4 linked regions of the Arabidopsis thaliana genome follow. The protein of the gene in region 3 interacts with the protein of the main gene of each other region in a pairwise test. Each region holds a gene or a part of one and is shown on either strand. Other genes may lie near its edges.

Region 1 (8,255 bases), about 15 Mb from region 3:
TGAGTTAACAATAACAGTGGCATTGTCCTCCGTGAGACATAGATTTGCAGTAACCGCCTTTTCCATTGTCGCATCCATTGAGACACCAACTGTTACATCTCTGGTCGTCATTTTTTGTGTTGCACTTTCCAAATTTCGGGTGGTTATTACAACACAAGGAACCACCATTCTCTACATTATATCCTTCAACATCTGCCAATATCACAAAGAATTGAAACAGTTTTGTCTAATATGAATTCATGGAATTTTGTAATTAAAGTAATAAGTTTGTATTGAAACACAAAAATAAGTTTGTTAGAGTGTAAAAACTTGAGAAAATACCCCTAATTATAAGAGAGAATACGTACCAATAAGTGAGAAAGTGAGAATAAGGAGCAAAGCAAAGGAAAAAACTTTCAAACCAGCCATTGTTAATAGTTTTTTTTTTTTTTATAAGTGTTTATAGATGATTGTGAAAGTGATGATTTTATTATAATACAATGAGATGTTTATATACACGTAGAGGTAACTAATCACAATTAATGTAAATATATGAATATACATAATTAGAGGATTGATATATTCAAGGATATGAATGTATTCTTTGATTGATTGTGAAGATACGATGGTATCCGTTTAAACTTGTTTTTGGTAATTCTATGGTAACGTTTTATTTAGTCTATTGGAAAATTCAAACCCCTTCATGCTCTGTTGTACAGACAACTTCTTCTTGTTGCAAATAACAAAACACCTTAAAGGCTAAAATTAAATACTGATTTTTACGAAATGGGCTTCTTAATTTCTTAAGGCCCATATATCTTTCCATCTGAACAATTTGTAAGCCCAATTAGAAGCCACTGTAAGTTATATAAAACGAAGTTTGTCATCGTCTTCGTCGGTGAACCTCCGATTTGACTGCACCGTCGGAGCTCGACGCTGAGCTAAGCTTAACCAAGAGCTGTCGTATATTACACTAGCAGTGAAGATCGAATCTTAAAACCATGGCTTCTCCGACCAATTCACAGAAAACAGGTAAAATAAAACCTTTAATACGCTCAAACCCTTTCACTCGCTGGCCGATTCGACTCAATCCCTTTGTTGTTTCGTTCCTTCATCCATGGATTTCTCATAGGTTTCGGTTAATATGATCTCTCTTTTGCTTTTTTTGTCATCCATCGTATTGAGACCTTGAGCTATTTAGTATTTAGCTAAGTTTCTGAATCTTTATGGTGTAATTGATGTTGCTATTCGTAAGCTAATTGATGCCATAGATTGCGAAAAGAGAAGTTGTTTCTTCAGTATTCAAGAGATTTGTGTTCTTGTGTTCAAGTTTAGATTTCAAGTTATTTTGTAATAATGTGGAATCAGAAGGACAAGTATGTCTATTTTCTGTATATTGATTTGATGAGGCCTAACTTCTTCTTGTCTACTACCTTGTAACAGTTTCGGATGACGAGGAAGTTGATTACTCCATCAAACCGGAGTTCTATGATTCAGATATTGATGATAAAGATGAGCTTTGGATGGATAAGAAGAGAGATGGTCGTACTTCTGATGCTCTTCTTAGCTGTCCAGCTTGTTTCACCACTGTCTGCTTAGAGTGTCAGAGGTATTTTCCTCTCTCAACATCAGAACTTGGTGTTTTATCTTCATACGATTGTTATATCCCATCCAGGCTTTGCTTTCTCAATGTTGCTAGGGCTCCATTGTTCAATCCTCACCAATGTGTTTGCTAATATATTGATAGTAACTTGCTAGATTCTGGAATGTTGACTTGATTATGAGATTCTTGACAATTGTTACAGGCTCTAGGTTTTTGTTAGGAATGACAATCTTGGTAGAATCCAAACCAGTTATATGACTTGATTAACGAGAAAAATTTCTACTCTCAGTCCAATTCCCAATCCCAAAACCCATAGGTAAATCCAGAACTACCTTTTCTAGCTGCTAGCTCTGTAGCTAACTAACTCAAAGATTGCTGATACAACTACTATCCACTACACACCGCCTAGGCTATTACAACACTCATGCGATAGACTAATATAAGGACTTTATCACAATGGATTTCTTTCTTTCCTCTTCAATCCGATGATATTGTTTTGTTTATGACTTGATCCCTTTGCACTTCTTTGAACTTGGTTTTAGTATTATAAACTGCGGAACCAAATTAAGACAATCTGAGTAAAACTTTTGCAGGCACGAGCAGTATGTGACACAGTACAGAGCAGTCTTTGTGGTCAATTGCAAAGTAGGTACAGACACAGTTTTGCAACAGAATACAATGCCCTTAAAGGTTGGTAAAAGAAGGAGAGATTCCGAGATGCAAGAAACTGGTTCTGAAGATAGCGAAAAAGTTAACCCGGTCTTTTGCTCAGCTTGTTCCACAGAGATCGGAGTAGTTGACAGTGAAGAGATCTACCATTTCTTTAATGTCATTCCAAGCGAGCCTTAAAACAACCTGGTTTTATGAGTTATTTGTAACGAGTTCTAAACAGGTGATTAGGATTAAAGTTTCGATTGTTTGCGTTAATCTTTACGTTGCATGTATATCGTTTGATAAAAATCAAGTCACTAGAGAATTTTGAGTTATACCAAAGTCAGAATCGTTCACAGTTCACATGATTAGTAATTTAGTATCAAACAAATACCAAATACAACAAACTACAAAGCGAGTTGGTCTCTGAACGTCTTTTAGTCACGCTAGTCAAATAGATGGCAGAAGATAAAGCGATCCTCTCAGTTTAAAAAAACGAGATGACGTGGATTATTCTGATTGGTGGAGTAAGCTAAGAAAATCTAGAGAGGCATCGCCAAATGAGAAAACTAGAAAAGAAGATATTTGTATGAAACACGAGTTGATTCTCTTTTGACAGAAGTGTCACTTTCTTGTATTTTCGTCCACCAACCCCCATACTAATAATTCTATACAAATTCCCATTAATAAATAAAGGCAGATGAGAATGGGCTCCAGCTGTTTAACACATTTGACAATTGTCAAATGATTCGTACACATATTACTATTTTAAAATAAAATAAAAAGATTAGAATATACTATAAGCATTTTTGGTAAATTGGTGATCATTAAAAATTTCTATGCATTTATCCAGCTAACCCCACAACTAATCATTCAAATCCCAGTTAATCACTCAATATAACTTTTAACATGCGCCGGTCATTAATAATTGTCAATTGTATCATACAATTTGTATGTAAGCTTTTGTGGCAACGTTTTCTTTTAAGAACTAGCTAGTTCAATTGAATCCTAGCAAGTAGCTACGAAATGTGACTAAAATTTCTCTACGAGTCTCTAGTTTGGTGGTTCCTCAGCTGTGCGTCGTAGTTTCAAGTTTTTACTATCTATCATACTTTAAGCATGCACAAAAATATTCTTTTCATCGCTTTTGATAGCACCTTCACGTATTATATCGACAACTTTAAGAAGTTGGCTTGGGTATAGTTTTTAAAAAAAGGCATTTAAACATCACTCATGGTTGTATCGTATGGGTACGGCAATCATCATAACAATTATTTCTGTTAAAGGATTTCACAATCATATAACAAATATTAAGACGATAATATAGTATAATGTGCATTATATATTCATCATGAAAGAAATTATTGTCGCGAAACAATTTAAAAAATCTCGACGCAACGACATATCAAAATCGGCATATCTGCCAGGTGGGCACGGCTACTTTTATTATGCCACGCTCCAAATGGAATGATTTGTTTTATTATTGCTTAATGGGTAATAAGAATTTTGATTATACAAATTGCACACACGAACGCATATCGTGTGGGGGTCACAGTGGTTGGGTTATACTCAGATTAGTAACCTGTGTCATAAAGCGCGTAATTGTCATTTCTTTTATTTGAGCTATTTATTTATCCTAGAAGTTAAATAAAAAATAAAAAATAAGAGACAATCACAAATTAGTAGATGTGAAATTATAAATGACTAAAAATAAATAAATTAAAATCGTACAAAATAGAATCGTAATCAGTGTAGGTGTAAAGTATACTCACCAATCAATTACCACCATTGATTGTCTCTTATTCCTCATCTTTTCAACTATTGTGGAAACTGGAAACAGCTTTTGTCTTAATTGCAATCTAATTTCCCTACATCCTATAAAATGCATTAAACTCATGAGGTAAACGTGTATGATTACTGTGGTTACAAAGCATAAAACATATACTACTTCATTCTAAAACAAATTTTATCGATAAGAAATAAAGGTAAAAATCAGCATTGTTGTGGTTACATGTCACAGAAGTAATAAGAATTAGTAAAAACCAAAATCGAATTCATATTATTCTTGTAACGCTACTTATTTTCTACGAATCCTAATTACTCGTAAATTAGCTAATGTAATTCAAGCAACCATATAAATGGGGACCCCAACTAACTCCTAAACCTAAAAACTTAAATTCTCCTGCCCGACCGTGGTCCAACGCTATAGTCAACACCGGAGTCAAGCGCGTGAGCTTCAACCGCGTCCGGACAAATTAAAAAAACCTAGCAGAAGTGAGCTGTGTGGGACCCCACCAGCCATGTGCTCTCCTTCCTGTCTCCACCAGCCTAGCTTCCTCTCAAATCATTACCTCCTTCTTCTTCTTCTTCTTCTTCTTCTCCTCGAGAGAGAGTTAGATAGTGATAACGAAATCCTAATTCCATGGCCGACAACGACGGAGCAGTGAGTAACGGCATCATAGTCGAGCAGACGTCAAACAAAGGACCTCTTAACGCCGTTAAGAAACCACCGTCTAAAGATCGACACAGCAAAGTTGACGGAAGAGGAAGAAGGATTCGTATGCCAATCATTTGCGCAGCTCGAGTTTTTCAATTGACCAGAGAGTTAGGTCACAAGTCCGATGGTCAAACCATAGAGTGGCTTCTCCGTCAAGCTGAGCCTTCTATCATAGCCGCCACTGGAACTGGCACTACTCCGGCGAGTTTCTCCACTGCTTCTCTCTCCACTTCTTCTCCGTTTACTCTCGGGAAACGTGTCGTCAGAGCGGAGGAAGGAGAATCCGGCGGCGGAGGAGGAGGAGGGTTAACAGTGGGACACACAATGGGGACTTCGTTAATGGGTGGTGGTGGTTCTGGTGGGTTTTGGGCTGTTCCGGCGAGGCCGGATTTCGGACAAGTCTGGAGCTTTGCAACCGGAGCTCCACCGGAAATGGTTTTTGCGCAGCAGCAGCAACCAGCTACACTCTTCGTCCGCCACCAGCAGCAACAGCAAGCTTCCGCCGCCGCAGCAGCTGCAATGGGTGAGGCTTCAGCAGCTAGAGTTGGGAATTATCTTCCGGGTCATCATCTCAATTTGCTTGCTTCTTTGTCTGGTGGAGCTAACGGGTCGGGTCGGAGGGAAGACGACCACGAACCACGTTGAGAAATGGTATTGTCTTTTTGGTAATGTATAGAAAAATTCCTATGTTTTATGTCATCGAAAGTGTTTAGAAAGTACCTCTAATTTGCGGTTTCTTTTGCTCCTTTTTTACTTAATTTAAGCTTATTGCTTGTTTGATTAGGGTTTTAGGGTTTAAGAATATTTGGTCTCGTTAATTTGTTTCGGAGAGTGATAGAAAGAGAGAGAGATTGATTGATTGTTGTACCTAAAACGCTATAAAAGCTCTGTTTTTACTAGCGAAACAGAGAAGTCGTTTAACTAGTGATCATTGCCATTCAATCAAGTCTCTTTAGAAAACTAAAGAAACAGCAAAAGAAACAAATTTGAAGTTGTCCCGTTAGTTTTAAGCATGAATTCTATTATGGTTCGTTCGTTAATGAAGTTGTCCCACTATTTACTCTTTCGTAGTAAAGGAAACAAATTTGAACTCGGGTTAACGGAGCCGGTCCGGATGATAATTCAGGTTCCACCAAAAACTTTTAAAACTAATAACAAGCCCATCCACTATCCAGAGCAGTATAATCGTAAGCTTCAAACACAAAAGAAATACTTCAATTTAACTCATCGTTATCAGTTATAACCGGAACAAACCGATAGGGGACCATTGGATCAAACCGTCTCGAACCGGTAACCCTAAAATAGTCTGGTTCTTGAAATTTCGGTGATCCTGCAACGTTTCTTCTCATCGATTTTGACCGGAAGCTCCTTGATTCAAACAAGACTTTTCTTATCGGGGAAGATCAGACGGAACAGAAGAGATCTCTGTGTTTACAAAAGTAATTCCTTGATTATAGCAAGCAAAGAATAAAGGGTAAAGGTGTAGACTTTGCTTCTCTCCTTCAAAGTCCACGCGATTCTCACTGTCAGCCTCTGCGAAATTTCCAGTCTTTCTCGCATTTTCCCTCGTAGCAGCCGTCAATTTCAACTGGGTATGTCTTAGATCTTCGTAGCGTTTACGGTTCCTGCTCAATTCTTCGTTTCTCGTGGTTTGACAGTTGAGTTACAGAAAACGAGGACGAAAAGCCTAATTGAAGAAATTAGTGATTAGAATTTTGTGATTCCGTGAAATTTTAGTATTAGTAAGTATAGACAGAATAGAAAAAAATCCCGTACTATTCATCAGCTATACATATCTGTTTGTAATTCTTTGAGTAAGATCTTCAATTCTCATGTGAAAACTGTGTTTTGAATGCTTGTCATAGATCAATTGTTGGATTAAGAAACATTGTAGTTTAGTGTTAGAAGAACATTAATGTGAGATTTGTTACATTGATTGACATTAGTGTTCCTGTGATTTGGTTTTAAAAAATCTTTGGTGAAGTGAGTTGGATTGGATTTTACTTGAATGCTTGTTGTTTCCCATCTTTTGGCTAATGATGTTCTTTGACCTTCTCGGGTCTGTTACTCGCATGTTTTTTCAGGTCTAAGTAATCTTGTGAAGACTCAATGACAGAGATATTTAGTGACACCGGGTTCAGACAGTTAACTCAAATGTTCCTGGCGATAATCTTCTTCCACACATCGGAGTACATTCTCGCCATAGCCATTCACGGAGCATCGAAAGTAACTTTAAGCTCACTCTTAATCAGCAAACACTATGCTTTAGCAATGCTAATATCAGTCCTCGAGTACATAGCCGAGATTGTTTTCTTCCCGGGGCTGAAACAACACTGGTGGATCAGCAATTTCGGTCTTACAATGATCATACTTGGAGAAATCCTTCGCAAAACCGCGATAATCACAGCAGGTAGATCGTTCACACACCTTATAAAAATTCGCCGGGAGGAGCATCATAAGCTTGTGACAGAAGGAGTGTATCAAATCATGAGGCATCCGAGTTACTCCGGGTTTCTCATTTGGTCTGTGGGAACGCAAGTAATGCTCTGTAATCCAATTTCAGCGATTGCGTTTGCGGTTGTGGTGTGGCGGTTCTTTGCAGAGAGAATACCTTATGAGGAGCATTACTTGAAGCAATTTTTTGGGAGACAGTATGTGGAGTATGCGCAGAGAGTTCCTTCTGGTGTTCCTTTTGTAAACTGATCCTTAGATCAATTGTGAACATATACGAGCATTGTTTGATTACCTTTTACATAGAAAATTATGAAAGAGATGTTGTTACTCATGTTTTCAGTTAATGTTCTCTTGTCAATGTCTTTGTGTTTCTTTTTTTTTATTGCTAAATAATTTGGATATTATTCCAAAGACTCTGCCTGAGCCAGAGGTTTATGCTTATGAACATAAAATTTGACCACTGGGTTTTAAAAGTGATTTAGCTCCGGCGAAGAGTCTCTCCGTGAGAGCGAGCTTGTCCGATTTGTAAGCACGAGACGGAACCATGTTGTGCGGAGGCTCACGTGTCTTGCAGCATTTGTCCGACCACAATCATCATAATTCGATTGGTTTAGGATTAGGGTTTTGTGGTGCTAAGATTGTGCAGCTCTCTTCATTCTTTCTCAGGCCTTCTCAGGCTATGGCGAAGAGTCATCATTTCAGCCGTAAATTGCGTCAGCGGATGATTTCTTCATTTGGGTCTCATTGCAGAACATCCGGAGAAGTCCCAATTCTTCACAATTGTTTCAGGTTTTGTTTCTCTCCTTGATTTGGTATATCTGATTCTTAAGTGTCATTGTCGAGATTTATGTTTCTGGACTCGAAAGAGAGATCTTTAATTAATTCATCTGACTGATGTTAAATTCGGGGTCTTTTGCTTTCTTCTACTGAAGCCAACGAGAAGATGATCCTGAGCTTCCAGTTGAAGGGTTATCTCCAGTGTCAGGTATCTATCTAGCTTGCTTGTTTCTTGCATCTTCATTCAATTTCCTAAGAAAAGTCACACCTTTCTACTCTTTGATGGGGATTTTG
Region 2 (7,881 bases), on a different chromosome or scaffold from region 3:
TTCTTCGGTTTAGTTGTTCTTCTATACGACAATTTATCACTTGACAAATATAAACGATCTATTACTTGCAACATTCATATTTAATCTAGTATCTTACACGTACATATTTGTTAGAAATTCAATGACCAAACATTGCAAAACTATTACATTCACTTGTTGCATGTAAGCTAGAAGCCTAGAACTCGCTGTCAACGACTACAATGTCTACATTATTTTCACCGACACAATTTACATCTTAACCAAAATTTGGATATTGGACCAATCGTTCGTTTATATAATAACCACACGTATCAATCAACACACAGAAGACAATGACATGTAACAAACAGTGTAAAATATTGAAAATAACTTATCAAAAAACTTTAGTTCATAACACAAAAACTTTCGGCTATTTTTTATTGACTTCTATGTAGTCTTTTTGTTGCACTTACTATTTTTAAAAGCAATATGTATGTTTCCAGCAGATTCTTAGTTTTTACAAAATTTTGCCTTTAATATTTTTTTTGATATACATTGCCATTCTTGATTTCATTTTCTTCTACAATAGTATCAAAATTTTACAAAATAAAACTTCAAAAAACATACGAAAAAGTTAACAAATATTCAAAAAGAGAATGATTTTAAAAAGGATATAAATATAGAGAGAATAAAACGTAGAAGTTAACGATTTTTTTTTGTGAGTGTCACTTTAGATGGAAAATGAAATGATTGGGTAAAAACGCTCCACCTGTAAAACAGAGAGTGGAAGAAACGCTCCTGTGTACGAGCGTACTCTCTCTTCAAAAGAAAACAAATCTCTCAAAAAAAAGAAAGAACAATTGAAAAAAAAAAAGCAAATCTCAAACTCAAAGTACATATACTTACTTGACACGTGTTAATATACAGCTGTATCCCAAGTCCCCAACCGTTTTTCCTGGAAGATTCTCTGCTCTCCACGCTCGATGTTAACCTCACACAAACGCTTATCTCCCAAAACGCCTTTTCCAATCGCCAACGTGTTTTATTTTTGGTTTAAAATAAATATCTGTTCCAATCATACAAACACGTAAATGTTGTCAATTTTTTTATACCCAAACGTTAACGAGGTTTGTACGTAGCCCATTTATGGACACATAATTATGAACATATAAACAATGGTTAATCATACGTTTAAATTAATTAAATTCACCAATATTTTTTTGACTGAATGAGTCAAAATTGTTTAACGAGTAACGACCATAATTATCAGTTTTTATTTTTTATTGTTTGAACTACCATAGTTATCCGTTTAACACTGAGCAAATCTCTTTATTAATAGAGAAAACGGTTTTATTTGTTTCCTTCTATAAAATTTGTTTTTAATAATACGTTAGATATTTTTATGCAGTTAAGGATAATATTACACTGTAAAGTTTAACTAGTTTAATATCGTTTCTGTTAAATCGATAAGAAAAAATTACCGGTTGAACCGGTGACCCTTTTGCCCACTCCTTTCTCGTATAAATACTCTCTCTTCTTGCTCTTATCCTCTTCAACCAAAAAGCTTTTCTTCCCAACACACACAAAAAAAAAAACTGTAACGACCAAAAAAAAAGAGGACGCGTTAGAAGAAAAAAAAAGAACAATCCGATAAAAAGATCCGGCGATGTCAAACCCGACCCGTAAGAATATGGAGAGGATTAAAGGTCCATGGAGTCCAGAAGAAGATGATCTGTTGCAGAGGCTTGTTCAGAAACATGGTCCGAGGAACTGGTCTTTGATTAGCAAATCAATCCCTGGACGTTCCGGCAAATCTTGTCGTCTCCGGTGGTGTAACCAGCTATCTCCGGAGGTAGAGCACCGTGCTTTTTCGCAGGAAGAAGACGAGACGATTATTCGAGCTCACGCTCGGTTTGGTAACAAGTGGGCTACGATCTCTCGTCTTCTCAATGGACGAACCGATAACGCTATCAAGAATCATTGGAACTCGACGCTGAAGCGAAAATGCAGCGTCGAAGGGCAAAGTTGTGATTTTGGTGGTAATGGAGGGTATGATGGTAATTTAGGAGAAGAGCAACCGTTGAAACGTACGGCGAGTGGTGGTGGTGGTGTCTCGACTGGCTTGTATATGAGTCCCGGAAGTCCATCGGGATCTGACGTCAGCGAGCAATCTAGTGGTGGTGCACACGTGTTTAAACCAACGGTTAGATCTGAGGTTACAGCGTCATCGTCTGGTGAAGATCCTCCAACTTATCTTAGTTTGTCTCTTCCTTGGACTGACGAGACGGTTCGAGTCAACGAGCCGGTTCAACTTAACCAGAATACGGTTATGGACGGTGGTTATACGGCGGAGCTGTTTCCGGTTAGAAAGGAAGAGCAAGTGGAAGTAGAAGAAGAAGAAGCGAAGGGGATATCTGGTGGATTCGGTGGTGAGTTCATGACGGTGGTTCAGGAGATGATAAGGACGGAGGTGAGGAGTTACATGGCGGATTTACAGCGAGGAAACGTCGGTGGTAGTAGTTCTGGCGGCGGAGGTGGCGGTTCGTGTATGCCACAAAGTGTAAACAGCCGTCGTGTTGGGTTTAGAGAGTTTATAGTGAACCAAATCGGAATTGGGAAGATGGAGTAGAGTGATAAGAACAAGTTTTCCCTCTGTTTCTCGGGAAAATAAAAGTTTCAGGCTTTTCATGTATAGAGCCAGTAGTAGAGACGACGAAAGGAGGAAGCGAAATCAAAAAATGTTTTGTTATCATCATCATATGATCTTCTTTCGTGATTCAATTAAAAGCAAAGCAAGATCATTTATTAACAATTTACACAAACTTGAAGAAGAAAAGTCAAAAACACTTCTCAAACTTTTATTCTATGGGTTTGTTACGAGGAAACAAACATAAACTAAAAGTAGTAAATATAATCTCACGTGACATAATATATGACCTGAAGAAACCAGTCGAAACGAAACATATATACGATTTTGATGTTTCATAAGCGATCATACAATTCACAGTGTCTTGCTTTTGCAGAATTAGACAAAGAACAGCAAGTTACCCCCTAATGTGCAGAGCTTAAACTGTTGCTGCTGCTACTGGTTGGTTCTTGTGAGCGTAACTTGTTGATTAGATGAACTATGTCTTGTTTCCACGACCATGATGGATCGTTTAGACCACGTACTGAGTTTAGACACACCAGAAGAGTCCCGCCTTCATGTAGAAGTACCTATGATCACAAAAATGCAGGTTAGCGGTTTTGTCTCTCGGGTAAATGATGGATAACAAAAGCTTGTAGTGGGTATTAGCTTACGTACCGTCAACCACAATGGGACAAACCCTAAAACTGAAGGAAGAGCGGCCAAGAATATCGATGTTAATGCAAGAGCTACGTTTTGCTTGACCTGCAACATGATACATTCTTGTTAAATCAGGCAATCTAACATCTGAAACTGGTTAAGAACAAAGACTTTTATGTTTTATCTACCAATGATGTTGTCTGGCGGGATTTAGCGACACAGAACGGAACACCGGTGATGTTGTCTCGAAGCAGTAAGATGTCAGCAACGGCAATCGCAGTGGCACTCGCTCGTTGAGCAAGAACAATCCCCACTGTTGCAGCTGCTAGAGCTGGAGCATCATTAATCCCTTCTCCTACCATAATTAAACCTCCACCTAGCAAAAATCACAACTCTAAATTCTCAGTCTCTTGATAGATGTTTTTGATTGGGAACTATGGCGAGAGTAATGAATGATCACCTGCTTCCCGAGCAATGTTCTTTACATGATTTAACTTATCCTCTGGCTTTAGGTTGCAGTAGACTTCGGTAATACCCACTGCGTTTGCAACTCTCCAAGCACTTGAATCATGGTCCCCAGTTAACATCATTACTCGGAGTCTGGCCCAGCTTTTAAGTTCTGCTATAACTCCTGACACCCCTGGACGAGGCTGATCTTCGAGGTGAATCAATGTTACCTGACAAAATTTAGTTGCAAGGCTCATAAATTTCAGTGTTACAGAGGTTTTTATGGACTAATAAATGGTCAGATGAGAGATGAAAATCACAGACTGTGAAGTAGGAAAGAGGTTTTTAGACCAGCTAAAGAAGTAGTCGTAGTATACCTTTTGATCAACAGAAAGAGCAGCATGAACGAAGTCCTTTCCGTACGAAGACGCGTTTACAGCATCCTTGATCTGTTTAGATTCATCTTCAGATTTGAAAAGTGAGGTAATGAACTCTATAGAACCAAGTGATGCTTTTCGTAATCTACTCTCTTCAGCTACTGTCTATTACAAAACCAAAAAATGTGGTGAGAGACAACATCATATATATTAAGAATGAAAGCCAGAGATGTACACACATCACCCACAGCTATACACTATAAAATCTGGTAGATAAATGGATATATATAAGAATCTAGTAAATAACTGAGTCTCACCTTAACACCGTTGACAGTAGCAGTAAGGCCTCTACCAGGAAAATATTCGAAGCTTTCAACAAAAATAGAAGGAAGATCCTTACCCACACTGTGATCTACAACAGCTCTGCAGCAAGATGAAATGTGTCAGAAACAGCAGAAAAGACCTATAGTACTCTTCAGTCTCAATCTCTTACCAGACCAAGCATCATTTAAACTAATAAACCAGTGTAAAAACCAGTGTAAAAACCAGAGATAGAGAGCTTCATAGCGTTCAAATTTGCTTTTTCCCCTTCCTTTCATCCGATTGTGGTAATGAACTAGAAATAAGAATAAGTTCTAGATGTAGGACTAAAATTCTTTACGTCAACATATCTCCTGAAATGAATGTACCATCCAACAAGATAACTTATTTCCCATGAGTTATAGACGCGCCACAGTACTAACTATGTGATGATGGGATGCACATAGGTCACAACTTGCATGGTTTTAGAGTTTGTGGTAATTAAGTTTTATACTAGTAATTGATGCTAAACAAGCAATACCTTCCAATAGGATGCGTGGTGCCCTTCTCCATGGCAGCCGCAACTGCAAGAGCTTCTTTTTCACAATTTGGAATGCAGCAAGTTATTACACTTGAATTAGTTCCTCCTTGGTGCCCATAAATGGGTTCAATTGCTTTACAAGTAAGGCCGCCGGTTGTTAAGGTACCAGTTTTGTCAAAAGCAATAGTATGGCAAGACGCAAGAGCATCTAGAACCTGTGCACCTTTCAGCAATATTCCCTATAATAGTTACACACGGTGGGGTTACACACTTACACGTGAAGATACTACCTTTACATAGCAAAAAAAAAGGAAAAAGAAAATAAACCATGTTTTCAACTGGATTTGGACAAAAGGAAAATGATATCAAATAGTTAGTTGAAATATGGTGGTCTTCATAGATAAGACGATGTTGTTGCATATGCACCATTCATTCCTCACCATTGACATTTGATGCACATAAGATTATTTAGCTTATAAAGCTTAATTTGCTACAAGAGAACATATACAAACCAATGCTCAAAAGTGCAATTCTGCAAAACATCACAACGCCAAGAAAGCTAACATACACTTGGTGATCACGTAGAGTACTTGAACAATACCTTTCTTGCACAGGAACTAATAGCAGTAGCATAAGCCAATGGAGCTACGGCCAGAGCACATGGTGATGCGGCCACCATAAGTCCCAATGCTCTGTAAACAGATCCTCTACATGCTGCATCATTAACAAGCAATGAAAGTAAGCCAATCAATTTTCCACTCTTATCAATTGTCCAAATGGTGATATATCTTATTAAACAACAAGAATAGTTTGTCACATCAACAATGATTTATGGTAATGTTAAGAAGGGAGAACTTGATCCTGACATCTTACCTGCGGTGCTGAGAAAAGGCCACTTGAACAAAAATGGACCTAGGAAGGCAATTGCAAGTGACAAAACAACGACAACCTTGCTGTAATTCTCGCCAAACTCATCCAGCCATCTCTGAAGTTTGGGTTTATTAGAATGTGCTTCCTCGGTCAGCTGTACAATCTTGTTAAGCGTCGAATCATTCCATGCCTTTGTAGCCTGATTTAGAAATTCCATGGATTGAGATAAGCATGAGGATTTCAAATAAAGAGACAAGCCAAAGCAATGAGAATAGGATAAAAAATACCTTTACAATCATTCTGCCATCCAAATTTCTTGCACCACCAGGCACTCTATCTCCAGCTTTTGCCTCCAACGGCTTGACTTCCCCAGTCAAGTGCTCAATTGTAATTGTAGCACTACCTTGATAGACTTCGCAATCTACAGGCACAATCTAAATGGAAAAAAAAATTCCATTACTTAACAGCTGCAATTGTAACCCTGCTAAAACTAAACTAATGACATACAGGGTCACATGTTTAAGAAATTCAAGTAATGAAAGCAAATAGAAAAGTTTCACAGACCTCACCAGTTCCAACCAAAACATAGGATCCAACTTCTACGCTGTGCACAGGAACGCTTTTGTATGACAAATCAGATATATTTGGAACATTGCCATTGTGTACTTCGATCAACAATGCAGAATCTGGATTACTCTCTTTCAATTCTTTGACATCCACCATTGATCGACTAGTAAAGAACTCCTCAGCTGCAGAAAAATGACAAGACAAAAGCTCAAACCTCTCCGTCATGATAAACATTAACAATGACATATCCCTAATCCTTATTAAGGTCAAGTTCTAACCAATATGAGCAAGATTGAACATAGCTAGAAGCAATCCTCCTTCCAAAGCATTTCCCATAAACACAGATGCAAAAGCCGCAAGTGCCATCAAGACATGGATGTTCACTTTTCCTCCAGCTATATCCATAAGTGCGTCGAGAGATGCTGAAACCTAACAACATCGATGACCATAAAGCTAAATTACTAAATCATCTGGCTAAATTATAAAACTAGCAAGGAGCTTTATAGAGAAGGCTATAGAAAACCTTACTCCAACAAGAGGAAAACCAACAATCATGAATGCGTTCTGAAGAGACTTAATGTAAGGTTCAGGAGCAAGGTAAGGACAGACGGCGGCAGCGAGGAACATTGCAGCGGCGGAGCAGCAAAGATGAAGATGCTCTCTGAGGTAATTGGCCAATCTAACCCATCCGATAGCTTTAGCGAATCCGAACAACATCTTCTGAGGCTTACTCTCCGCTTTCAATTCCACAGAACAGCATCCGTGTTGATGGTGATGATGATGGTGGTTGTGATGATCTTGCTCGTCATCGTGATGATGATCGTGATGGTGATCTTCGACAGCACGTAGACGAATCGACCGTGGTGGAAGATTAAGGGAAGCAGAGATACGAAGCGGTTTTTGACGGAGAAGAGTTTTAGGTGGAAGAATTGAGAACGAGTTGACTCGAGCGAGTCGGAGAGTGGATAAACCACGACGATAAGGGAATCTAGTAAGAGAGGAAGAACGAGTAAGAGTTGCAGGTTCCATGGTCGACGAATTTGAGCTCAAGCGTCGTTTTTCATGCCACCATTGATTCTGATCTCGCGAACTCTGCGTGTAAGAGTCGTTCGTCTTGGTGAAAAAGATGAAAGAATAATAACAGAGAAGGAGAACCAATGTAATTATTCCGATGACATTAGCCACATAAATAATCTCATCTCATACACTTTTTTATTTTTTCCATTTTTTTTGTTGCCTTCTACCAACCAAGGTTCCATTGTTCCGGATGTTTTATTGACCACTTAAAGAAATTTACATGAACCAAATAGTTAACTTCAAAGGCCTGTAAAATATTTCATATTCAGCTGCAAATCTTACAATTATGAATTCATCAGAAAAATGAAGGAATTCTAAATTACAACAATATTTTTTTCCTGGAGATGTCAGTCGTCTTTTCCTTTGCCTTTACCATCTGAAACCTTATCAGAATCATATGCTGATGGTAGCAAGAAAGTGCTCTGATTCTTCTGAATAAACCTGTAAAGATTTTTTTC
Region 3 (8,102 bases):
TAAAAGAAAATTAAGGTTATGATTAAGTTGTATCAAGACTATATAAGGGTCTCTATTGATTCATAACCACTAAGAGAGAGTTGGGTTAAAGGGAAGCTTTTGCTTAATTAACAAAGGTCTATAACATCCCAACATTATTATTTATAGAAGTTTTACTGTATATACAGTATTAGGGTAGCTGTTGTATAGCTTATAATATTCAATATTGTTACTACTTTGGAAGTAAATATTCATCAGATTCGTCCAACAAGAAACTTGACTAATATGTACCTACCAGAAATTAAATAATAATGTTTGCATTTTAAAATAAAACATGTTGTAGTAGCACAAATTAACAAATAAATTGGCTTAAAACGCACTATGCAATGAAGAGACGACAACCACAACACATATTTAACATCAAGATATTCTCTCAACCACCACTAATTGTTACTATTTTAAAGCTAAAATATTCATCCAACAAGAAACTTGAGTTACTCATATAGGTGATGTTTGCATATTGAAACAACACATTTGTGTACAACATATTAAGAAAGAAATGGCTGGAAAAAGTGATCTTCCTGTGATCGCGAGAGACGACAACCTAAGTGAAGAAACAAAAACTCTGATCTCTTCACTTCCTACATACCAAGATTCTCATGTGAAGCTCTGCAAGTACCAAGGATGTTGGTATTACCACAACACTCTCCAAGCAGTCATCAACTACCAAAGAAACTTCCAGCCGCAAGACACCGACATTATTCTCGCGTCTTTCCCCAAATCCGGTACAACTTGGCTCAAGGCACTCTCAGTCGCAATCGTGGAGAGATCTAAACAGCCTTTTGATGATGATCCCCTCACACATCCTTTGCTATCCGATAATCCTCATGGCATAGTACCGTTCTTTGAGTTCGATATGTATCTCAAAACCTCAACACCGGACTTAACCAAGTTCTCAACATCATCCCCGAGGCTGTTTTCGACTCACATGCCTTTACACACCTTCAAAGAGGGCCTCAAGGGTTCTCCATGCAAGGTTGTGTATATGTGCAGGAACATAAAGGATGTTTTGATATCGGATTGGCATTTCAGGTCCAAGTATAGCAACAATGAAGTATCTAGAAGCACTCTTGAGTCAATGTTCGAGTCATTCTGTGGCGGAGTTAGCTTCTATGGTCCGTTTTGGGACCATGCTCTAAGCTATTGGAGAGGCAGCTTGGAAAACCCCAAGCATGTCCTTTTCATGAGGTACGAGGAAATGAAAACAGAGCCGTGTGTCCAGGTCAAGAGGCTTGCCGAGTTTTTGGGGTTTCCTTTCACTAAGGAAGAAGAAGATAGTGGTTCGATTAGCAAACTCTTGGAACTATGCTCTCTTGGTAATCTGAGCGGTTTGGAGGTTAACAAAACCGGAAAAACATGGATGAACTATGACTACAAAAGCTATTTCCGCAAAGGAGAAGTTGGTGACTGGAAGAATCATCTAACTCCCGAAATGGAGAACAAAATCGACATGATCATCGAGGAGAAATTAAAAGGTTCGGACTTGAAGTTCTAGATTCGTGTTCTTTGTGGTTTGTAGCTTTTCACATATGCATTATAATAAAACTACCTTCTGTTTCTTATGTTCCTTTGATTTATGAGTATTGACTGTCTTTCAATAAAATAATGCATAGTGATTGGCCCAAAAATCAAAAGTGTGAATTTGACACAACTCCATGTATATTCATAATACAACTATTTCAAGATATGATGATTGCCCGAGTAAATACCGATACACCTAACCGTAAAGGCACAATAAAATGTGTGGTATAATAGATTATTACTACTAACAAAAAAGTTATAGTATAACTTTATTATTTTAACAGCTCATTTATTTTACATAATTCGTTTTTTGTTTATTCATTTTTTTATGATTATAAGTAACAAAAATATGCACTAAATGAATGTTTAAATTTATTTTAACATAAAATAAATAGTGTTGCTTATATGGATGCTTAGATGGACACCCTAAATGGAGAGAGGACTCTCCTATTATATATATACAGGTTAAACATTATGCAATGAAACCAAAGTTTTTCATTTCAAATCGAACCCAAAGTCTTGCCACAATTCAAATAAAAACTACAATATAGAATATGGATTGATGATTGTTATTTGCTTCCATATTTCAAAACTATATGATCTATCTCTTGTAACTCTTAAACTGTTTGTTTTCTAGTTTGCACTCTAGAATTGGTCTTATATTGTTAGTTTGTTACCGACTTTTTGTAGAATATCAGTTATACTAGTCTCATGTATATTTACAAAATTTTGTAATAAATTCATATAATTTTACTTAGTCAATAACTGGACTTTTTCCTTGTAATTTGATAAGTATTTATTTGGCTGGTAACAAAAACAAAATAATTAGTAATTTACAGTAGATCCCTTTATATAACTATTGTATCTAGAAATAGTTGTACTTCTACGTATTGGGGAGTACCCCGAGTTTTGTGTAACAACTTCCGCTATATATTGTAAAGTAAAAAAATACCAATGAAGTTTGCTTTCCTTATCTGCCTAATTGTTACATCAGGTAAAATTTATATTTCACGTGTGAAGCAAATAACAAAAATCTATATACAAAATTTGTTATTTATAGTTTCTGATTTTGTAGTGATGAGTATCGTTACTGTTCGAAATGTTGAGGCGAAAAGGTTATTACTTGAAGAAATTCCTCAGTTGCATCATGAAGGTTCGCCGCAGGTAGTGAAATTACTGGATGATGACTGCATGGATGGATGTCATATGAAATGTATTCCTAACAACAGAATTACTCCTTGTTTATGTCTATGTTAATTTTCCGTTTTCTTTTTTGAATAAGATATGTTTTCACTAATAATAAAACTTTGTTGCATAGTCCATACAAAAAATATTGAACATTATGTAAAAAAATTCAAAAAAGATAGTTAAGAACAAATTCAACATGGAAGAGGTGATGCCTAATTTTTCATCAAACCAGCCACCATTAGAATAATCACTAGGATGATATAAAAGCATATATATTGCCCACCAACTATAACTTATGAAGCTGTATATGTATGATCATGTGTGTAGCTGTTTTATATCATTTATTGGATCCAACGGTGGATCAATCCAACATAGAGTCCAAAAGAACCGGAACCGGAGAGAATGCCATGAACCGGTTTGTTGTTAGATACGTCTCATTTTCAGTATTTGATTTCTAGCTAAATAAGCTAGTCATGAACTTAAATCTCTAACGCCAACCATGCAATGAAACCAACTTTTCACATTTCAAATCGAACCCAAAGTCTTGTCGTCTACCGTGTAACAATAAATACCAAACTCACTACCTTTAAAATTCTCCTTTTTGAGACCAATTCGGATAAAACCAACAATCTCCTAAATGTTCACTTCCCAAATGTCGTAATCCATAAATCATACTCAAGAAGAAGGATTTAGACTATTAGGAGGTCATGTGCCAAAAATAACATAATACTAATGATAAATTAATCACAAATATTTAAGCACCATTTAGAATCATCAATCACAGTGGATTAGTGTTGGATTTGATTCTATTGAAATCCATGACTGAATAATACCCCTTAATGTGTAACGATTCAAAACTTTTTCTACAGAAAAAAAAAATTTGAAATCGAGACTAAACAAACTTAGGATAAAAAAATAGTCTTGAACATAGGTTTTCAAATTTGGTCCTCCAAAGAGATTAGGTTAGGTTTGGTTTACATTGGTTCACTAAAGCATGACAAGTACATAAACTGCCTTGCTGTAGTAACATGAAAACAAAGTCAGAGAGAAATCAAAACCCAAAACGATAAGACCCCATAGATAATGAACTGTCTAAAGACAAAACCTTTTGGCAAGATTTCTTGTCAGTTTGTTCCTGGATTCATATATATAAAGATCATTAGAAGTTTCATAGAGACAGAGAGACAAATTAAGTTGGGACTTTCATGAAAACTAGTAAAGAAAAACAAATAGTATAATTTTAACTCAAATACTATTTGTTTTTCTTTACTAATACTCTCGAAAGTCCCAACTCAAATACTAGTTGGACACACATGAAGCTACCAATCAGACCCAATGAAACTCAAAATCTTATCCTCCAAACACAGAAAAAAAGACTATGAATATGTTTGACTTTAGACAGCTAGAGTTTCAACTCAATTGACTAGGATGATCTAATCCTGATATCACATGAACCACAAATAGATGAAAGAGTAAGTTCTTGGCTTTAAGAGAGAGAGAGAGAGGTGACAAATGCATATGGCAGACCACAGTACATGTAATGCTTACCCTACAATAACTCAATGCTTGAACAAAAGAGAAAGGTTTTTTATATTCTGCACATGAGTGTACCATACTCTACCCCACTTCCTTGAATTAGGGCTACAGAGAAATGAATCTAGACCGTCCTCTAAAATCAAAGAAAGTATCTTTCTTTGTGTTGAAGATGAAAGTGTCCCACAAATGTCCCCAAAATGATGGGACACACTTTGCCTCAAAGTTGCTGCTACTGTTTACTACCCGACAGCTTTAGCTTTTGCCTTTGTCCTTAAATCAAGTTAATCCCATTTTTTCTAAATTACCAAAAAAGTGACTTTTCAATTCCTATAAAACAATCTTCTTCACAAAGCCTCTTATCTCATCAACAAGTCTTTCTCTCTCTCTAGACAACCACAAGAACACAAAACACACAAAAACAAAGAGGTTCTTTCTTTGAAGAAGAAATGGAAAAAGTTGATGTTTATGATGAGCTTGTTAACCTAAAGGCAACAGAGCTGAGATTGGGATTACCAGGGACAGAAGAAACTGTTTCTTGTGGAAAAAGCAACAAAAGAGTTTTACCTGAAGCTACTGAGAAAGAGATTGAATCCACTGGAAAAACTGAAACCGCTTCTCCTCCAAAGTAAGTGTTTGAATCAAATACAACTTCTCTGAAAATGTGTGTTGAGTTGTGAATCTGATCTAATCTAATCTATGCTATTTCTTGTTTTATAGGGCTCAGATTGTTGGATGGCCACCAGTTAGATCTTACAGAAAGAACAATGTTCAGACAAAGAAGAGTGAATCTGAAGGTCAAGGAAACTATGTGAAAGTAAGTATGGATGGTGCTCCATATCTAAGGAAGATAGATCTAACGATGTATAAACAATATCCAGAGTTGATGAAATCACTTGAAAACATGTTTAAATTCTCTGTGGGAGAATATTTTGAGAGAGAAGGATATAAAGGCTCAGACTTTGTACCTACTTATGAAGACAAAGATGGTGATTGGATGCTTGTTGGTGATGTTCCTTGGGAGTAAGTACAAATTTTCATTTATCTCTCAAATTAGTTAACTTATGACACAATCTTGTTTATGTATTTATGGTGTTTTGTTGTTATTGCAGGATGTTTGTTTCGTCTTGTAAGAGGCTAAGGATCATGAAAGGATCTGAAGTTAAAGGTTTAGGTTGTGGTGGTCTTTAACAAACCTAATTGAGAGATAAAGATCAAAGAGAAAGATTCAAAAACAGAGTTTTTTGTTCTGTTTCTTGAAACAGAGTAAATATAGCTCTGAAACTGCTCGGGTTCTTGGGGAGAGATGTTTCATACAATCATACTTTGTGAATGTTTACCTCATCGGTAAAAAGAGAGATGCTTAAAATGGTCTTAAGCATAAAAGTGTGAGAAAGATCTAAATCTAAACTTTAGCTGTAACTCTGTCTCCATTAAAGAGAAAGGTTTTGTGGTATTAGAAAGATCTAATCTGAAGATTATCTTTGTGTTTTTCACTTTTTATAATGTTCTTATCGAACAACTTTGATGTTTTTGATGTAATTACCCATTTTTCTGTTCTGTTTCTCTTCAAATTAAGATCTGTCTTTACAAAACTGTAACACAGAACATTAAACCTAACTTGTAGATGAACACAACGAAGACAAATCATTAAACCAAAGCTGCTTTATGGTAAAAATAATAATCCCAGCTTCTAAACATATATCATTGGATTCTAGTTTCTTTAAACTTAGATTATACATGTTTAGTCACCAAGATTAAAGAAATAAGAAATCTAATCGAGCAGTGAGAATATTTTTGGGGCTTTGGAAATGTTTATATTATCTTTTGTTGTTACCAACTGTGACTTTGGTCCCCCATACCTTAAACAAGTAAATCTACCCAACTGTGCTAATTTGTCTCCACTATCACTTATAATAATCTATGAACCTTGGAACTAGAGTAATATTTTAAAATGGTATAGATAGGTTCATTGAATTTAGGTTTTTCCTTTGTGCACCAACAATTTTTACATTCATACCTAATGTTCTTGATGCAAGATGATTATTAAGTCAAGAATTTTACCAAATACTTAAACCTAGTTGTCTCGATGATGATGATGATGATTATGATGAGACAACAATCGATCAACAAAAGAAGGATTCAAGATTCTTGATGAGATTGGAAAACTGAATCTATATTTCTAACAAAAGTTTTTGTAATCTTCTTCTGTGGAACATATATATAAATGAGAGATTTAAGAAGAGTATGATCTTTGATCATCAGTTTCTGACTCTAACAAGGTTAGCTCTTGACCTGTTTGGTCGTTGCTACTACCACCAGAGATTGTCATTATTGGTTCAGACTGAGAAGTAAATCCTTCTTCTTCCTGTGGTCTCTTCTCCACTGTTTGATCCGAGATTAACACAATTGAACTGCTTGTAACTACCGGTTTAGGTTGATTAACATCTTCACGATCTGTCTTCTCCGGTAGAACATACGAAAAACCATATTTCTGAGCATGTGTTAGTCCTGGACATAAACCCTACAAAAACCCCAAAACAAAAGAAACTGACTTTGATGAAAGAAAGAAATATTTTTATTTCTGGTACTGGCCTTTATCAAACCGGTAACTGGAAAAGATTCGTGGTAAGGAATCCGAAAGAAAGAAAGAAACATTTTTATTTCTGGTACTGACCTTTATCAAACCGGTAACTGGAAAAGATTCGTGGTAAGGAATCCGAAAGAAAGAAAGAAACATTTTTATTTCTGGTACTGACCTTTATCAAACCGGTAACTGGAAAAGATTCGTGGTAAGGATAATCGTTACTGTGATCATCGTTACTACTGTCTTCTCCAAGGACTTCTTGTTCTAGTTTTGTGGAATTGCTTGGACAGTATCCACCAAAGTAAGAGCAATGTTCCCGAGCTAGAGATATTTGTGGTGTTATTGGTAAGAGATGACCCTCAGTACTGAAGATGTACCTGAAGATTAAGTAAAATTATCAAGATTAGTGAATTGTTGTGGTGTTTGTGAAAATCAAGAGGTTAATGTGGAGGAGATATTTATACTTGTAAGGGCCATTGTCTACGAGGTTATCCGAGTCAACAGCTAAGTCAAAGAGTAGCCATAAGTACTTCACCTGAAATATTTTTGAAACAAAAACAAGTCAAGGCTTTAAGGTAAGCAAGTAAATGCATATTGAGAAACAGAGCTTTTCATGTATTTTACCGTTTCTGCGAGGAAGAAGCTCTCCATGTGATCTTCTTGTTTATGCAGTTCTACATCTGTGATGTGACAATAACCGCAAGGACATTTTGCCCCGTATTGCAAACTAGCCACAAAGTCACGTCCTGCATCAAGATACCTGTCGACGAGTAATTTGCATTGTGCAATTCAGTAGTGTGATCATCTTTGGATGAAGAATTGAAAAAAATATAACTAATTAATTTGGTGACCTGGGATCTCTGGTAGCTTTGTACAACCAGTATGTACTCTCGATTAATTCCGGCCTTAAGGGATAACTCTTTTGCCCATACTGTAAGGAAAATGAAGAATAGATATGAAGCTGTAACATCATAGTGCCATCAGACGTAATAAGTGACAAGTGATCACAGAGACACTTAAAATTAAGATAGAGTACCTGGACACTAAGTGTAGCAAGATTAAAACCCTCAGGGGTGAAACCATATCGTTTCCAGACGCTAAAGAAGGCAGTGTGAGTTCTTATTGCTGGATCAACGTCTCCAGCTAAAACCTTTTGAGAGAGAAACATAGATACAAAATCATAGTTAAATTTTCCAGCCTGAAATATATTAACAATTTGGTCAAACGTAGAATC
Region 4 (8,921 bases), on a different chromosome or scaffold from region 3:
TAAGATCTCTATAAATGTGTAATATGTAGCTAGTGGTTGCTTGCAATTGTCTTGTCATTGGTGGAGACATAATATAGTGGCTCAACTTGTTTACTACAAAATATAATTTTGGTCTTGTGATTGTAAGTTATAAAATTTCGTGATGAGCTTTCTGAAAAATGTAGGGTCTTCTAATAAATCTTTCGATTGGTTATATATTCAATTCTATAGGTGAAAAGCGATTTACCACTCACTATATCAAACTCTAGTACTACCTTCAATTTATATTTTCTTTGTGACACACTCATGTCTCGTTTTTCTTTGGCCAATAGTTTTGTGAAAACAATCAAGTTTAGTGGTATCAACCAGTGGACAGGTTTATGTTTATTGTATGACACATTTGACTACTAACCTGTTCAATGGAACTTATTAGATATTTCTTTAGTTCACATAATTAGGAGGCACCGAAAATGGATTAATATTGTAAAAAAGAACTGTCTATTTCACGATTGTCTTCTCTCTTGTTATAGATGAATTGATTTAATTAAATAGGGAAATTATCGTGTCCCATAATGCCACAATAACAAAATTAATAAAAATAAGTAAATCAAAATGAAGTAGAAGAACCCAGATTCCAAATGAACAAATGCCAATAGACAAACAAAAAAAAGTTCACACTATAATCCGATTGGTAATGTATAAAGAATAAAAAAAATTAACGAATAAAACTAAATGTTAATGATATATATAATTAAAAACAATGCAATGTAGCGAATAGAAAAAGCGGCAAAAAAATCTTAATTTTTTTTTTATCTCGTTTTTGATATTGTTATGTGGTTAGTTATATTAAAAACGGTACGAATATACCACTACGGTGTGAAGCTAACAATCACACCCTATATCTCTAAACTTTTTAGCCAATTTTCATTGGATTCTCTAAAAATTAACTTGTTTATTAATAAGAAAACAAAATCTTAAAAGAATACAAAACTTAGGTATTTTAATTGCATTCTCAATTTTTACAACTTCTAATTCACATCATGTATACGAATAATTCGCATTCATAGGGACCACACGCTTTTAAGATTACTTTTAGAGAAACAAAATATTGAAAAGTTTGTGAGTGATGATAATCGATCGGAGATGGGGCAAAAATTTGAGAGCGACAAGGAACGTGAGTCACATGGAAAGATCGATCATATTATACAGCAAACAGAAGTCCCCACACCAACATGAATTGGTGTCATATGTATGAATGTGAAGGGCCAAAATCATCAAAAAGAAAGTGTTGTGTCATTGTGGACCTTGATTAGGGGTAAGCTCGTAATTATTTGTTTTCTACTTATATTTTCTTTGGTACCAATTGAATTAATTTTTTCCGAAATCGGCTATGAAATTATTGGCCTCTTTTTTGCCCCACCATAACAATCCAACTACTTTAATTCCTTCTTAGTACAACAACGGCTACTTCACTTTAACATTGTCTAGCCTTTTTCTATTTTAAGTCAAAATCTTGACAATGCACATGACCCCTTAGGAATCCACATTAACGATATTATTATCGTACATATTTTAGGTTATTAATCATCCCAGCTAATTCATTCGGATAATATCTAAAAACATGATGGTTTGAAATATTGGCATCGTTTCTAGCCACTTATTTTGAAAACCATTGATTACTTATTTACTTATAAGTCATTTTAACCCAATATACAAATAACGTGTTCGTCGATATTAAAACATTTCATTTGACAAGCATCAAGAGTATAATTGGCGGTAAATCTTTGGTTACAAATGAAGGAAATTCACAACAGTTCGACTTTGTCTTAGATGTGAAATAGAAGAAGAATCTATTAATCATGCGATTTTTAAATGCCCTTATGTTCGTCATACTCGGAGATTAGCACATATCCAATCGGCAATTAATGTATATTCCTCCAAAACGAATTTTGTTAATCTGAATTTTTATTTTATTTTATTTTTTTAGAAACCATGATAAAAATAAAACATGATAGATCAAATTTTAACCCAAAGATTACACTACAATGGTATTTAATCCATGAGAGCTAAAACAATCACACAAAAGTTTACAAAATTAACTCAAAAGAAAAGATTGTTTTGTATGGTTTCTAAATTAACTAAGGGGGTGTTTTTCGTTAATGGATTTTATAGAATTGAAATCCAACACTAATCCACTATTATTTAACTAATGATTCTAAATCCAGCTTTAAAATCTAGTGTTATTGGAACTCATATTTGTAAATCATGCTTAATAGATTCTAAAGTTTGGTGTTATTCAATTAAGATTTTAAATATTTCATTAAAATCCAATGTTATTCAAAACTAAAAGACTTGTAAAATCTTTGTATATTAATTGATTTGAAATGAAAGTTCTTTAGAGTTTCATGAGTAAATCATTAGAATCAAAATCCAAGACATATTGCAGAGATTTTGAAATTCATACAAACATATTCTTAAAAGCAATATCGGAAAACAAATCTAAAGCTTAAAGAATTGACTTTAACTCCATAATTGAATAACACCACCTAAGACATTAGTAAATTGTAAGTGAATAAAAGAAAGCAACAAAAATAGTTAACAATTGGTAGATAAGAATTACATGCAGTGTAAGAAAATTTCACAAGGACTCAAATCACAATTATCAAATTTTGTAAATAGATAAGAATTTTCAAAATATCAAGTTGTCTAGCTAAATACTTAAGATTGTAAACTGCAATTCAAATTCAAGAAATTAAAATGGACATATATAGGGAAGTTATGGGCATGTATGTGATCTCGTACATCCCTTAGAGCGAGGTCTAAACCATCATTTGGAAAGCTCACCCCTTCCAACACAAATCGAACACATGACTTCTAAAATCTCTACGTTTTCGGTGATCAAAGGGATTTACCACTAGAAGTGCCAAGTTGACGGTTCTTGGGAATGTAAACTCTACTTCTAGGTTATGTTGGATATGCTTTCAGGAGGAATCTATGACCCTATTGCTAGGATTTAAGTCCCATCGCAAAAATATTACTCTGCTCATTTTCTTGAATTTCTTATATGGGCTATGAAGACCATTCTATCAAGTGCACTCACATGGTAGAAACTAAAGTCGGATCTCTGAGCTGATCATGATAACGCAATACCCCTTTGAGTGGCTCCACTTTAGTGGACTATTGTTTTCTCTTATTGTACTTTAGGTCCTCGTGAATTAATCTCTCGGACGAAAGTGTTTAGCATGTAGTATTTTAGCCCATTATTTGGGTAACCAATTAATGTTTATTCCCTTAATGTATTGGTGATGATAAAAAGAGCAAGTAGACTACTAAGTTCTTACCAACCAATAACCGAAGGTACCAAACGATTCGAAATTAAAAAGAACGAATAATACTGATGAAAACTGTTGAATTAAACAATGTCATAGAATATAGTCACTTAATTATGACTATTTCTCTTTCAAGGCACTAATCATCCTTGTAAATCATCATACTTTCCAACAAGTATTAGTAAACAAAACCTACTAAACTAAAATAGAACCTTAATTTTAATTATCATTGTTTAGACATTTTTACATACATGTTTTGAGGAAAAGTCTCCTAACTATCATAATGATCAAGTCTAGTCTACTATTAATAGCAAAGAAATTAAAGAAACTATCAAAAATATTTGGACCTAGACATCAACATCTAACAGTATAACCTAATCAATCAAAGTAACAATCTTGGTTCGAAATGAGGATATGCATTATGTGAAAAGGGTCATTGTAGAACTATGAAAAATGGTTATGCATATGGGGAAGCTTAAAAATGTTTTATGATTGCATGTATCTTTCTTAAAGCTCATACCGAAAGAGCTCCACATCTAATAATGGTCGTAACCACACAGTATTTTATTTATTCTCCATCTATCGCCTTTTGAACATGTCTAAAACACAAGTATATAATAAAAATGCGTATTACAACACAAAAATATATAATACTAATATCGCTAATAAGAATATAGAATGATATTATTATATATTCTTGTTGGGTTATTTTGACGACAGTTCTTAAGTCAACTTAATTATTTTTGCAAAAGACATTTTTGCACGTTAGTTGTAATTTTTTTTCGCAACTAAAAATATATGCAAATATTTTACATAAAACATCTTTTGCTTTGTTTTGTCAATCTCTTATGCTTACACTACTTGATAGTCATTTCTTTGAGGAAGAGCGCCAATCCTACAAAAAAAGTAAGAAATATTTATTGTTACAAAGGTGATTCGAATTCGAGTGATAATTTCACAACGACGCTTACAAGAATAGCTAGATTTCATGTATTTTCCGATTACCAATTTTTTTTTGTATCAACAACAACATGCATATGAGTTTGAACTTCGACGGTGTCACATCAGCTCTTGCACACTAGCACAAATCACTAAATTACGTTTTTAGTCAATTAAAAATAATAAAACATATACAAATATGACCACAATCATAATACTACAATTGAATGGCGATGATATAAATTCAATTTTTGTATTAGTAATACGGTTTGAAAATCTACATTCGAAATGTGAAACGTACAATGCCATCATTATGCAAAAAAAAAAACAACTTTCAAACATTATTCTATATGAAATGGAGGAATTGGTAAAAATAGAATTCATTACATCACCTAAAGATTAATCACCCGATAATATAAAAACAGAAAACTAAACAAGATTTCCCTGAAATTTATAGTTTAATATATTTTCTTATGAACATAATGAATTTCTTTATTTATTCTCATTTATGAAGATGATATAAAAGTTTGAACAATAATCACAACACAACACATAAAAAGTAAATCTCCTAATCACCAAAAACTATAAAAATGAAATGTATGTTTTTGTAGTTGAAAAAAGGGTGGTGGTTGGCTTTAGAAATTGGACTTTTAACCTAAATGTTTCTCTACAATACAACTTCCAAATCATAACCGTTATTTAATATTACACCTAGTCTTCATCAAATAATCAAAATCACAAAATAATCAAATATCAAAAACAAGTTGTTATAGTTTTTAATCAAAATAATTATGACATAGCATAGATTATAGAATATCTCGTTCAAATAATGATGTCAGGTTTACATCAATCAAACTGAATTTTCTCGAGAAGCATATTTTGAAAATTAAAATTTATTCGCAGAAAAAGAAGAGAAAGGAATCTACTATTATTTACTGTATATTATATAAAGAGGAAAATAAAATAGGTAAATAAATTTCCTTTTATAATTGCTTTAGATTGCGGTTGTACCACGGCTCTGCTCTTGCTTTTAAGAACTTGCCGGTACTAAATTTCATATACTCCAATTAAAAGCTAGCTCGAAACCCCAAATGTTATTTTATTTTTCTATATAATAATAATCATACATTATAAAAAAAAATCATATCATTATTTAAAAATAGAATTTTATTTTTCTTTCTTCTTCTTCAATTATTATGACACTCCCGTGTTCCTAATCTTTTCTCTTATTCTTCTCTTTCTTCTCATCTTACAAAATCTTGCAAATCAATTTTAATGAAGAGAGAGCACAACCACCGTGAATCATCCGCCGGAGAAGGTGGGAGTTCATCAATGACGACGGTGATTAAAGAAGAAGCTGCCGGAGTTGACGAGCTTTTGGTTGTTTTAGGTTACAAAGTTCGATCATCCGACATGGCTGACGTGGCACACAAGCTTGAACAGTTAGAGATGGTTCTTGGTGATGGAATCTCGAATCTTTCTGATGAAACTGTTCATTACAATCCTTCTGATCTCTCTGGTTGGGTCGAAAGCATGCTCTCGGATCTTGACCCGACCCGGATTCAAGAAAAGCCTGACTCAGAGTACGATCTTAGAGCTATTCCTGGCTCTGCAGTGTATCCACGTGACGAGCACGTGACTCGTCGGAGCAAGAGGACGAGAATTGAATCGGAGTTATCCTCTACGCGCTCTGTGGTGGTTTTGGATTCTCAAGAAACTGGAGTGCGTTTAGTCCACGCGCTATTAGCTTGTGCTGAAGCTGTTCAACAGAACAATTTGAAGTTAGCCGACGCGCTCGTGAAGCACGTGGGGTTACTCGCGTCCTCTCAAGCTGGTGCTATGAGGAAAGTCGCGACTTACTTCGCTGAAGGGCTTGCGAGAAGGATTTACCGTATTTACCCTCGAGACGATGTCGCGTTGTCTTCGTTTTCGGACACTCTTCAGATTCATTTCTATGAGTCTTGTCCGTATCTCAAGTTTGCGCATTTTACGGCGAATCAAGCGATACTTGAGGTTTTTGCTACGGCGGAGAAGGTTCATGTTATTGATTTAGGACTTAACCATGGTTTACAATGGCCGGCTTTGATTCAAGCTCTTGCTTTACGTCCTAATGGTCCACCGGATTTTCGGTTAACCGGGATCGGTTATTCGTTAACCGATATTCAAGAAGTTGGTTGGAAACTTGGTCAGCTTGCGAGTACTATTGGTGTCAATTTCGAATTCAAGAGCATTGCTTTAAACAATTTGTCTGATCTTAAACCGGAAATGCTAGACATTAGACCCGGTTTAGAATCAGTGGCGGTTAACTCGGTCTTCGAGCTTCATCGCCTCTTAGCTCATCCCGGTTCCATCGATAAGTTTTTATCGACAATCAAATCAATCCGACCGGATATAATGACTGTGGTCGAGCAAGAAGCAAACCATAACGGTACCGTATTTCTCGATCGGTTCACGGAATCGCTACATTACTATTCGAGCTTATTCGACTCGCTCGAGGGCCCGCCAAGCCAAGACCGAGTGATGTCGGAGTTATTCCTAGGACGGCAGATACTAAACCTTGTGGCATGCGAAGGAGAAGACCGGGTAGAGAGGCATGAGACTTTAAATCAGTGGAGAAACCGGTTCGGTTTAGGAGGATTTAAACCGGTTAGTATCGGTTCGAACGCGTATAAGCAAGCAAGCATGTTGTTGGCACTTTATGCCGGGGCTGATGGGTATAATGTGGAAGAGAATGAAGGTTGTTTGTTGCTTGGATGGCAAACGCGACCGCTTATTGCAACATCTGCGTGGCGAATCAATCGTGTGGAATAAAAATAAATAATGGGAAAAGTGAAAATGTGCTATATACTTTATTGCATTGCTGATAAAGAAAAAAAGTCCCACGTTTTCCAAATTTTATGAATTCTAAATTTTGTTCACTTGTCACGAGATTTTGACCTCGCATAAATAGACTATTACGTCAGGGTCAGGCCAATGAAATGATTTTTTATCACTTGTTCTCATTAAGGTAAAAAAGGTCTTTTCTATTTCATCTTTGGTTTTCGATAAAATTAAAATTGAATAAGAGATGAAATAATGATATATATAAGGTGATAGTCTGATAGATATGGATAAATGTTTCATGACACGAACCAGTAGTCAAGTTCTTTTGAGAATAATCCTAAGACCATGGACTTTAAATAGATTGGTTAAAGGGTCATTATCTCTTTAATTAAGGAGGACAGTGGTGTGTTTAAAATGTATTTGTGCTCTTTTGACGTTGATTTAATTAGTACCCACCGCCAAATAATATATGAGCATTCCTGTTATCGCATGTTGACATCATTTTAAGAAAATGATTTTCGTAGGTAACATTTTGTTGGTAATCAATTTAACAACTACCAATTTTATTACTTTTAGAAGAAATATGCATGAGCTGACATAATTATACTGTACATAAGTTCATAAGTTTCTGTCGGTAGAGAGGTTTGTTCATCAGGAATTCGTAATGACGCAAAACATAAATTTGTCTTTAGAAACTTTATATGAATATATAAATTTGGGAAACTATTATAAATCCTCATAAATTTTAACAAATTTTCAAATACTTTTACCTTTCTAAAACTTTTATATGTTGTTTCTTATAACTTACTTACACAATTTTGTAACAATTTTCCAAGTATAACCAGAATTGTTTTGGTAATAAAACCTTCCTCAGAATATGTTCTTGGAAACGAGATTTTAATTTGATGGGCATCATCATTCTTCGACACTACAACCATTTTAAAATTTTGTTTTACTCGTTGAAAGTATTTTCTTTTCAATAATGGTGCATTCTAGGTTTGATTAAATTGTGAAGTCCAAACCCAAGCCCAATAAGGGAAGTTTGAGGCCTAACCCAACTCCTAATATAAGTTTCTCGTGTGTGTAATTCTATGATATTACCTTTTTACGATAATTTAATTAGTCATTTTAAAAATCTTTTAATGAACTAATGACGCGTCGAAGCCGCGATTAAAAGCTGCAAAAGTACATGCATGAAGTCAATGTATAACGCTTTCTATGGTATTGACCTTGGCAAGTTTAAATTTTTTAGGCTCATATTTCGGACCATTTAAGGAAAGCAATATCTAGAAATGGAATGTAATTACAAATGTTCTTAAACACGACACCAGTCATTTAGGAAAGAAACACGAGACTTTTTCTCTTTGGTTTTGACTGATTTTTGAGGTCCTTAAAATTAATACCGAAACCACTTCAGAGGTTAAGATGTCACTTCATCATTAATTGTCCTACACACCAAATTTTCTATTGATATAAAATTTTTGCATGTGAAGAAAAAGCCCAAAAATTTACTCGGATTTTAAAGCAGATTCCTTCGATCTAAAGAAAGAGAGAAAATGGAGAATATGTTAGGTCTTCTAAGACTTCATGTGATTAGAGGTGTTAATCTTGCCATCAGAGATTCTCAAAGCAGTGATCCTTATGTCATTGTCCGTATGGGAAAACAGGTAACCCCAATTTTTCATCTTTTCTTTTCCAATTTAGGCTTTACATTTTCTGAGTTCTTCTGTTCTTGTCAAACAAAATTTTCTTCTTTTCTTTTGATCGAGTTTGTCAAGTAATTGGTTAATTGCTTCTTGAGCTTTCTTTTGTGAATGGATCTTTGGTAATGATTAATGAATTTTGTTATGC

What was found.
Region 1: the proteins of ATAUX2-11 (region 3) and TCP11 interact in binary tests that used the Arabidopsis thaliana proteins (3 or more experiments, as listed by UniProt).
Region 2: the proteins of ATAUX2-11 (region 3) and MYB73 interact in binary tests that used the Arabidopsis thaliana proteins (3 or more experiments, as listed by UniProt).
Region 4: the proteins of ATAUX2-11 (region 3) and RGL1 interact in binary tests that used the Arabidopsis thaliana proteins (3 or more experiments, as listed by UniProt).

What each region holds. Positions count from the first base shown.
Region 1 is NC_003076.8:2,676,173-2,684,427, forward strand, and holds TCP11 (TCP family transcription factor), read left to right. Parts: upstream 1-4,228; 5' UTR 4,229-4,655; coding exon 4,656-5,375; 3' UTR 5,376-5,821; downstream 5,822-8,255. Other genes in the region: AT5G08315 (Defensin-like (DEFL) family protein), read right to left, coding at 5-192, 348-408; AT5G08320 (E2F-associated phosphoprotein), read left to right, coding at 981-1,011, 1,423-1,588, 2,176-2,431; ATSTE14B (Isoprenylcysteine carboxyl methyltransferase (ICMT) family), read left to right, coding at 6,840-7,433; AT5G08340 (Nucleotidylyl transferase superfamily protein), read left to right, coding at 7,729-7,973, 8,117-8,169. UniProt on the Arabidopsis thaliana protein: Transcription factor involved in the regulation of the circadian clock. Acts as a repressor of CCA1 by binding to its promoter. No binding to the LHY promoter.
Region 2 is NC_003075.7:17,538,978-17,546,858, forward strand, and holds MYB73 (myb domain protein 73), read left to right. Parts: upstream 1-1,512; 5' UTR 1,513-1,624; coding exon 1,625-2,587; 3' UTR 2,588-2,822; downstream 2,823-7,881. Other genes in the region: HMA1 (heavy metal atpase 1), read right to left, coding at 3,010-3,174, 3,263-3,349, 3,433-3,620, 3,705-3,921, 4,069-4,233, 4,386-4,491, 4,910-5,148, 5,511-5,623 and 5 more; AT4G37280 (MRG family protein), read right to left, coding at 7,771-7,864. UniProt on the Arabidopsis thaliana protein: Transcription factor that functions in salt stress response. Acts as a negative regulator of NHX7/SOS1 and CBL4/SOS3 induction in response to salt stress. In response to auxin, activates the transcription of the auxin-responsive gene IAA19.
Region 3 is NC_003076.8:17,545,735-17,553,836, forward strand, and holds ATAUX2-11 (AUX/IAA transcriptional regulator family protein), read left to right. Parts: upstream 1-4,444; 5' UTR 4,445-4,730; coding exon 4,731-4,909; intron 4,910-5,001; coding exon 5,002-5,304; intron 5,305-5,393; coding exon 5,394-5,472; 3' UTR 5,473-5,981; downstream 5,982-8,102. Other genes in the region: AT5G43690 (P-loop containing nucleoside triphosphate hydrolases superfamily protein), read left to right, coding at 539-1,534; AT5G43695 (uncharacterized protein), read left to right, coding at 2,515-2,554, 2,636-2,817; AT5G43710 (Glycosyl hydrolase family 47 protein), read right to left, coding at 6,518-6,805, 7,041-7,245, 7,333-7,403, 7,493-7,628, 7,720-7,799, 7,905-8,018. UniProt on the Arabidopsis thaliana protein: Aux/IAA proteins are short-lived transcriptional factors that function as repressors of early auxin response genes at low auxin concentrations.
Region 4 is NC_003070.9:24,742,805-24,751,725, forward strand, and holds RGL1 (RGA-like 1), read left to right. Parts: upstream 1-5,300; 5' UTR 5,301-5,522; coding exon 5,523-7,058; 3' UTR 7,059-7,382; downstream 7,383-8,921. Other genes in the region: AT1G66360 (Calcium-dependent lipid-binding (CaLB domain) family protein), read left to right, coding at 8,627-8,737. UniProt on the Arabidopsis thaliana protein: Probable transcriptional regulator that acts as a repressor of the gibberellin (GA) signaling pathway. No effect of the BOI proteins on its stability.